Lepisosteus oculatus: one gene and its partner. The protein of the gene in region 1 purifies or fractionates together with the protein of each later gene. This does not show direct contact. Links are inferred from orthologs where the notes say so. Each region holds a gene or a part of one and is shown on either strand. Other genes may lie near its edges.

The links. Proteins that work in one complex are often made in the same cells at the same time.
Region 2: the proteins of ipo4 (region 1) and histone chaperone asf1b-B purify together in Homo sapiens (affinity purification with mass spectrometry; 5 studies listed by BioGRID and IntAct, counting the BioPlex papers as one, with this or other methods). This does not show direct contact. The link is inferred for Lepisosteus oculatus from reciprocal best matches to the Homo sapiens genes IPO4 and ASF1B.

Annotation. Positions count from the first base shown.
Region 1 is NC_090699.1:14,287,741-14,291,490, reverse strand, and holds the start of ipo4 (importin-4), read left to right. Parts: upstream 1-1,077; 5' UTR 1,078-1,092; coding exon 1,093-1,191; intron 1,192-1,633; coding exon of another isoform or gene 1,634-1,904; exon of another isoform or gene 1,905-2,317; intron 2,318-3,750. Other genes in the region: homeobox protein NANOG, read right to left, coding at 1-403, 504-832, 1,634-1,904. UniProt on the Homo sapiens protein: Nuclear transport receptor that mediates nuclear import of proteins, such as histones, RPS3A, TNP2 and VDR. Serves as receptor for nuclear localization signals (NLS) in cargo substrates.
Region 2 is NC_090706.1:21,998,486-22,002,235, reverse strand, and holds the start of histone chaperone asf1b-B, read left to right. Parts: upstream 1-1,534; 5' UTR 1,535-2,040; coding exon 2,041-2,149; intron 2,150-2,852; exon of another isoform or gene 2,853-2,889; coding exon of another isoform or gene 2,890-2,932; intron 2,933-3,750. UniProt on the Homo sapiens protein: Histone chaperone that facilitates histone deposition and histone exchange and removal during nucleosome assembly and disassembly. Cooperates with chromatin assembly factor 1 (CAF-1) to promote replication-dependent chromatin assembly.

The sequences.
Region 1 (3,750 bases):
CATTGGGGTACACAGCAGTGGGGCTTTCTGAGGTCTGAGGTGAAACACTGGCGTGCACAGAGGTGGGGCTCTCCAACGTCTGAGCTTGAAAGTTGGGGTAGACAGAGCCCAAGTCTTCGAATGACTGAGTTTGAATACTGGGGTACGGAGAGCTTTCTGAGGCCTCAGCTTGAGCATTGGGGTACGCAGAGCTTTCCGATGTCTGAGCCTGAATATTGGTGTAAGCAGAGCTAGTGCTTACCAAGGCAAGAGGTGGAATATTGGGGTACGCAGAGCTGGAGCTCTCCAAGAGGAGAGGCTGAATAATGGGGTACCCAGAGCTGGGGACCTGCTCCTCTCCCTCGGTCAGAGTCTTCTGCTGCCTCTTTTGTTTCATCCTGCGGTTCTGAAACCAGGTCTTAACCTGCAAACAGACAGGGGATGGTGAGAGGGCGCTCTGCACTGGTCTGTCCCACACACACAGACAGGGCGCTCTGTACTGGGGGATGGAGTGACTCCGTTACCTGTTTGTAAGATAGTCCGATTTTGTCAGCCAGGCTCTTCATCTCTGCTGGAGTGAGGTACATCTTGATCATGTAGCGCTCGCACAGCGCAGTCATCTGCGTCTCGGAGAAAGCCGTGCGGAGCTTGCGGGCACGTTTCCCAGCTGCTGGGGCCGCACCTGGGTCCATGTCCAGCAGTGCCCCCTGCTGCTGCCCCTGCTCTTCTGCACCTTTGGCCCAGCTGCAGGGAGCAGGCACGGGCTCGGCGCAGGCAGTCTCAGCCGGGCTGCAGGGCGCGGGAGGGGGCCTCAGGGCGTAGCTCTCGTCGGCGCTGGGCGAGCTCCAGGAGTCTGGGACACAGAGAGCGGAGGAGAGGGTCAGACCCCAGGACACATAAAAGCACCGTAAATAGACACACAATCGTTTAAAGTGACGGATTCATTCCAACTGGAGACAGAAGATCCACCGAAACGTGTTACATCCCCTCTCTGTTCCCACCGAGTTCTCCCGGCGGCCACGGGGGGGCGCCAGACTCCACACTGTCCGCACCAAAGAGTGGCGACATAACGGAAAGAGACGGAGAAGAGAGGGAAAAAGAGGAAAAAGAGAGATGGACGCGTCGCCACCTGATCCCTCCGAGGACGGCGTGAGGCACCGCGGCGTGGAAAACGCACGCACCCCGTGTTCAGCAGGAGGACAGGCGCTGCAGGTGGGTGAATCCTTGATTTGACCCACACAGCGGGGGCACAGTACTACATCTCTCGCTGCGCTGTGGAAATGCGGGATTGCTTCCCGATAGAAACCAACAACGCCGACCTGCAGTCTAGGGGCCGCAGCGCCTCTCTCTGAAACACGCAGCGCTTTTCACACGCACAGCTACATCGTGAGACTTTTACGCGAAAATCCGGCGCTTTCAAATACAAAACCAACTCGGTCAAGAAAGACACGCAGCCGGTGAAGGCGGCAGAGAAAGTCTGAGAGAAACGCGTCTCCCTGCTTTTCCACGCCGCCGGCAGTGCGGATAAACAACCGTGTCTCTGGGAACCGCCGGAGACCCAGACTCGGAAAACACGCGTGTACAGAAACACTCAGATGCGAATAAAAAGTGACAATACGGGATATTAGAGAGAAGGGGCTCGCCGGGCACTCACCGGGGGTGCTGGGCTCCGTCTCGCTGGAGGAGTCGCTCGGGGATCCAGCCAGCGGGACCCCGGGAACACGGGTGGCGTCCTGAGGCAGGGCATTCTGGGGTGCCGTCGGCGGGACGTCGAGGAAGAGGCCGTCCGAGCCGGAGGGGGTGAAGCCGGTGCCGCTCCAGCCCAAGGACGGGTGATTCTGGACGGGCGGCGGCGGGTAGGTCATGCCGTAAGCGTAGGTGTGATAGGCGGAGCTGTAGTTCGGAAGCGAGTTCCATTCCTCCATTTCTCCCGGTTTAGAAGCGTTACAAAATACGTTTTTTTTTAATTTAAAGAAAAACGCGTTCTTTCCACCCCACCACCACCACTCCTCAGAAAGAACTGATGCCAAATCCGTCGTCTTGAACCGCCTCTCCCCGCCGGTCTTCCCAGAAAGCAGAGACGGGCGGCGAGCGTCCGCGGTTTCCAACTGCCGGGGCCCTGCAGACGCGAAGTGTCAGTTCGTCCTCGCCGCTCGACTCCGGGTTCGTTCCGACAGCACTGCGGTGTCCGGCGGCGCCGCGGGTGTTTAAGGGCCGAGGCGGCGTGCGGGGCCTGCGGGGGCGTGTGCGTGCGCGGTACCCGTCGCAGCCAATCCGCGAGTGGGGCGAGGCCTCCCGCCATTTGCATCTGTTCGGACTTGACCGAGGCCGAGAGACGGCCCCGCCTCCACACCACTCCCACTCCCACTCCCACGCCCACTTCTGAGCGGCTGTGCTGGTGGCTGCTGTCGTCCCGTTTTATTCAAATTGAAATTCACTGTAATGGCTCTTGACAAAGGGGGTGGAGACCAGAAACTCATGTTTTCATGTTTTTGGGCACTATTCGGTTTGAACTTCTGGAAAGCGAGCGTGTTACCCGCTGCTGTTGTTAATAATATTCCTGTAGGTTAGTGAGGATTCTGCTGTTGTTGCATTAGATAGATAATACTTTATTAATCCCGTAGGGAAATCGATGTGTTACAGCAGTCCAGCCCAAGACAAGCAAAACAGACATCAGAATAGTTATAAAACAAGAGACAAACAAGATAAATAAAAATAAATACATAGGTGTGTGCAAAATGTGCTGATCATAGTCACTGTAAAAACAATAAAATATGTGCAAAATTAATTCCTATGCTTAAAACTGGAGTGTGCTCTCACAAGCAAGAACTTTTTTTTTCGGATTTCTTCTGCTTTTTTAGATCTTCAGATTGAAAAGTGTCCAAAAAGATGAGATTCCAGTCCCTCCCCCCTCCCCCTTCGCGGAGAGCCATCCCGGGGAATTTTAATCTGAAAGAGATTTTTGTAAAGGCAGGCCTCGTGGTCCCAGCTGTGAGTGCTGTACCTTGTTCAGGTACAACAATCGCACCGATTAGTTCCTGAAAATGTCTGCTCACAGGCGTAAACCCACACGAGCGACACTAAATCCCCATTAAAATCCATGTAGAAGACTCTGATTCGTTCCAACTGCTCACGACTGGACACGACCCAGCCAAGCTCAGGTGCTCTTCTGGTCATGTGAGCAGTTTGGCAGCACCAGTTGTTAAGAGTGTGTTACAGCAAGTCGAAAGCACCACTGTGTCTCCTTTCTGCCAGCTGCTCTGTTCAAGTGGGTGACAAAGCAGGAGTGTGGAGCGATCCCTAGTGCACGTGAACAAGAAATATGATGTGAACTAACCAGAAGTTCACAAAACTACCAAACAAAAATGGTTGATTATGTTTGTGAATAAATCCTGCCCAGTTGAAGGTGGAATAATGCCGAATACAACTGTAAAAGACAGAGCACCAAGCTCCCTGTCAATACTGTGTCTTCGTGGAGGACATAATCAAAATATGATCAGGCCATGAGGCTCTTATTCAGTCACTTCCCAGCTTCTCCCCGTTTCTCCTGGCTCTCTGATGGCAGGAACAAGTGTTCCTGGTTCTCCTGTGTCCAGACTCCTCTCTCACACCAGGGCCCGCTAACCTGCCAGCGAGTCTCTGCACGGATCTGAGAGGCAGTGTGCTAAGGCTTGCCGGTCCCGGGTTTCACTGTGTGTTTGAACAGAGGAGCTGACTGGAGCACAAAGGGGTGAGAGAGCAGCGCTCGTGAGCCACAGACTCAGAGCTGTT
Region 2 (3,750 bases), on another chromosome or scaffold:
ACTGCACCACTGTATCACCCAGAAGTTAAAATATAAATACAGACTGGAAAACACTAAGCTAGAAGAAGCTACTCATGATAAGACATCTGTGTTTATGTTGGTACATTGCTTACATCTTCCAGATGATGTGGGGAGAAATTAAAAAGGAAAATAAAATGTTTGGCTGTATTAAAAGCTTAAAATTGAAATTAAGGGATGTCATGTTAAAATTGTGTATTGCGGTAGTTAGGTCTCATTTAGAATACCGTGTAAAATGGTGATTATCACATTACAAAAAAAATATTACTGCTTTGAAATGAGTCCAGAGAATAACAGATGCTTTCTGGGTCTTCAAGGAATATTCTACACAGAGGCTGAAAAAACTTTTTTAGTCTCGAAAAACAATATTAAGGGACCGGATACAAATATTAAAAATTCTCACAGAAATTGACAATGTCAACCCAGAGGACTTCTTCAGAATAAACAATGAAACACAAACCAGAGGGCACACGTGGATACTACATGGAAGTGTATTTAACAACAACAGAAGGCACTTCTCTACCCAGAGGGTTGTGGTAGTGTGAAACAAGCTAACCATGTGATTGAGGCTGATACTTTGACTTAATTCAAGAAACTGCTGGATGAGATTCTAGGATCAATTACAGTAAATACTATCAAATGAGCAAAATGGGCTTAATGGCCTCCTCTCATTTGAAACATTTCTATGTACAGTTCAGTTTATTGCCATATGCACAAGTGCAATGCGTATTTGCATGTATGTTCCAAAGACATTAAGAAAATACCAAAAACATAAACACAGAACAGAGGCAGCAACAAAAAGTTAAAGAACATACAACTTTAAAAAAACATCAGTGTGAGCCAGTGGTAGGGGTAATTAAAACATCGCGAAACTGATATTAACATGTCAATTGCAATTACATTCCGTGCATTTTGTTTTGGTGAGCAGAACAGAAATATCCTTAGTAATAACCAGAATCGGATAACTCTGATTTTCCATCCTATACATGCTGCTGTGGGATATGCATTTCAACAAACACAGAAATCACGTAAGTGGAAACAGTAATACTCTAAATTTTTGGAATGGTATAACACACACTGTTCTCCCATCGGTGACTTCTGAGAAAAACATAGATTGTAATTTACTGATTACACAGAGAGCAAAATCTAGTAATTGACAAATCTTCGCCATTGTAATTGAAATAAAGCACGTAATTTACTCATTTTGTGGTGTCGAGTCCTGATAAATTCCCATTTCTTAGGCACTCATAAGGTCGTTTGATTAAGTTTAGGAACGCACCCCCTGCTGCACTTGCTTGCAGCTCAAATACTATGCACAACTCTATGAAAGGAATTATGGGTACGTCGCGTAATGGCAGTCGAAGAACGAGCAACTGTGCAAAACATCTCGAATCTGCTCATTTGCACAGAATTCTGCGACAGTGACGTCACGCAGCAGCGCGCCAGCAGTTTCAGACGCTATAGTTCCTGCAGCTGCTGGCCAATCGGTAGCAGAGCTCTCCTGGGTCCCATGGCTATGGCCTGGCCAATCCGCTTCAAGCTTGATGCTCCTAGTCTTACTGTCCGGCGGAGGCTGCTGTGAACGCTGGCGGGAGCGAGTTTCTTTCTTTCTCTCGGGCAGACCGCGAAGGGAACGGGTTTGTGACGTTTGGAGGGAAACATATTTTTGAAACTTTTCATACGCTTTCTGTCCGGATCTGAAGGTTTGAGTCCCCCCTCTTGTCAGGAACAAAAAACTTCGAAAACCTTTGGTGTGTGGATGCAGAAAATGAAGATCTGGTACCAAGACTCATTTTAAATAAGCGACGTATAAATACAGGAAATTATTCACTTTCGTAAGGAAAAAATATACTTTTTAGTTTTAGTAAGGAGCTGTCACCCCCTGTTAGAGCGCACGGTTCTCTGTAACTAGATCCTCAGCAGTGCAAAGACGGGATTTGGGGGTTTCTACGCAGTTTTGTCCCTTTGAGTGACTCGGATAATTATTGTTTTGCACCGCGAGTTGGCCGGGCAGCTGCAGAAATGGCGAAGGTGCAAGTGCTGAACGTTGCCGTCCTGGACAACCCGAGTCCCTTCGGAAACCCCTTCCAGTTTGAAATCACTTTCGAGTGCATGGAAGACCTTCCCGAAGGTAAGCGCATCTCCCTTGGGCTGCGGATGTCGGGCAGCCTTTTTTCTGCCTTATCTCAGGTGCAAAGTGCGTCCTGCCGAAATGGCGGGGAGAAATCGTAGGTACTCAAGGGGCGAGCACATTTCTAATTTTGTTGCATGAGCTGGTGTGACACTTTGCTGTTCAGATTTTAGGTGGAGTAGAAAGCCTATCGTAAAGCGCTGTTATGAAAAACTATTATAATCTTATAATCTATTGTTTGCTAGTACTTTGAAGCAATTTAGTTTTGTAGTTGAACGAATTTATAATAGTTGTAACTTGAGCATTTTCCAACATTTTTACAGATAAATTGTTTCATTCTCGTAGATTTTCAAGAAACGTCAGGGCTATATTATATCAGTTAGGTGAACAGGCCTAACTAGTTCACCCGCAGTCTAACAGTCAAAATGCAAGCAATTTAAAGTAACTGATTCTCTGAGATTTATGACGGCGATAATTCGTTTGATTCTTTCTCTGGTTAGAAGCATTTCGCTTTTTTCTTAATTATACTTGTATGTCCTTTCCATTACTTAGTTTAAAGATGGTAATCTTTGAATTTTGGCGCCGGCGGGGACTTAAAGCAAGCGAGCAGAAAAAAATTCTAGAATCCATGCCTCTTCTATCTGATTGGGCGGCTGATGATACGGGGGCGTGTGTTTTAGCATCTGTTGTGTATCCGATTGGTTCCTAAGCGAGTTACTATGACTGTAGCTCCTGATTGAATGGAAATTGCGGGAGTAGCTTTTGTTTCACGCAGAGCTAGAGGTAGTATTCTGCAACCACATTAATTTGACGCCGAGACGGTTGGTGTCTTCATTTTGAAGTTTCCAAGTTACTCATTAGTAACTTAGAGGTATTCAAATAAAGAATTGTTTATCCGAAGCTGCTTGGTAATATTCATAAGTAAATATAACGTTCAATGTTTCAATGAAACATTTACTTCTTAAAGTTTATATTAAAATATTCTGGGTATTGAAGACTGTTCAAAAACAAATATATTCACTGTGACAGTTTGGATTATATTTTCATTTTAATAAACTGTATGATTAATTGTACCTTTGTAACGTGTTAATTTGTAGTGGGGCAATATTGGTTTCCGTCTGAATATATTTAGTTGTTTTAATTAAACACATTTAATGTCTTGCAGTAATTCTGAAAATTAACATTTTCAATGTTACTTTATCTTTTGCTGTGCTGCGATATTCTGGCGCCCAAGATCAAAGCTTTTAGAGTTCAGTCATACCAGTTCAAGCCCGTTTAACTTTAAGATGGCATTGTATTTGTGTAGGAACAAGTGTCACAACCGAAGAAGGCTCCACAGCCGAAACGTTGTTTTCTTCTTTATTCAGCATGGAGTAAACCTATTACTTGTTCCTTTGCAGCCTATGCATGCTGACATAGCTACACACCTAAACTATTTCATTGTATTTGTGTTTAAAATTCCTGCTCGACAGTTGGTGGGTTTTTAAGTAATTTGATTACATAGTGATTTTTGGACATTCATGATTTTATATAATGAATGGGCTGTTCCAAATGTTGGAAAAGACCCTTTACCTAATTTTAAGTTAAGTGGCACGTTGGTG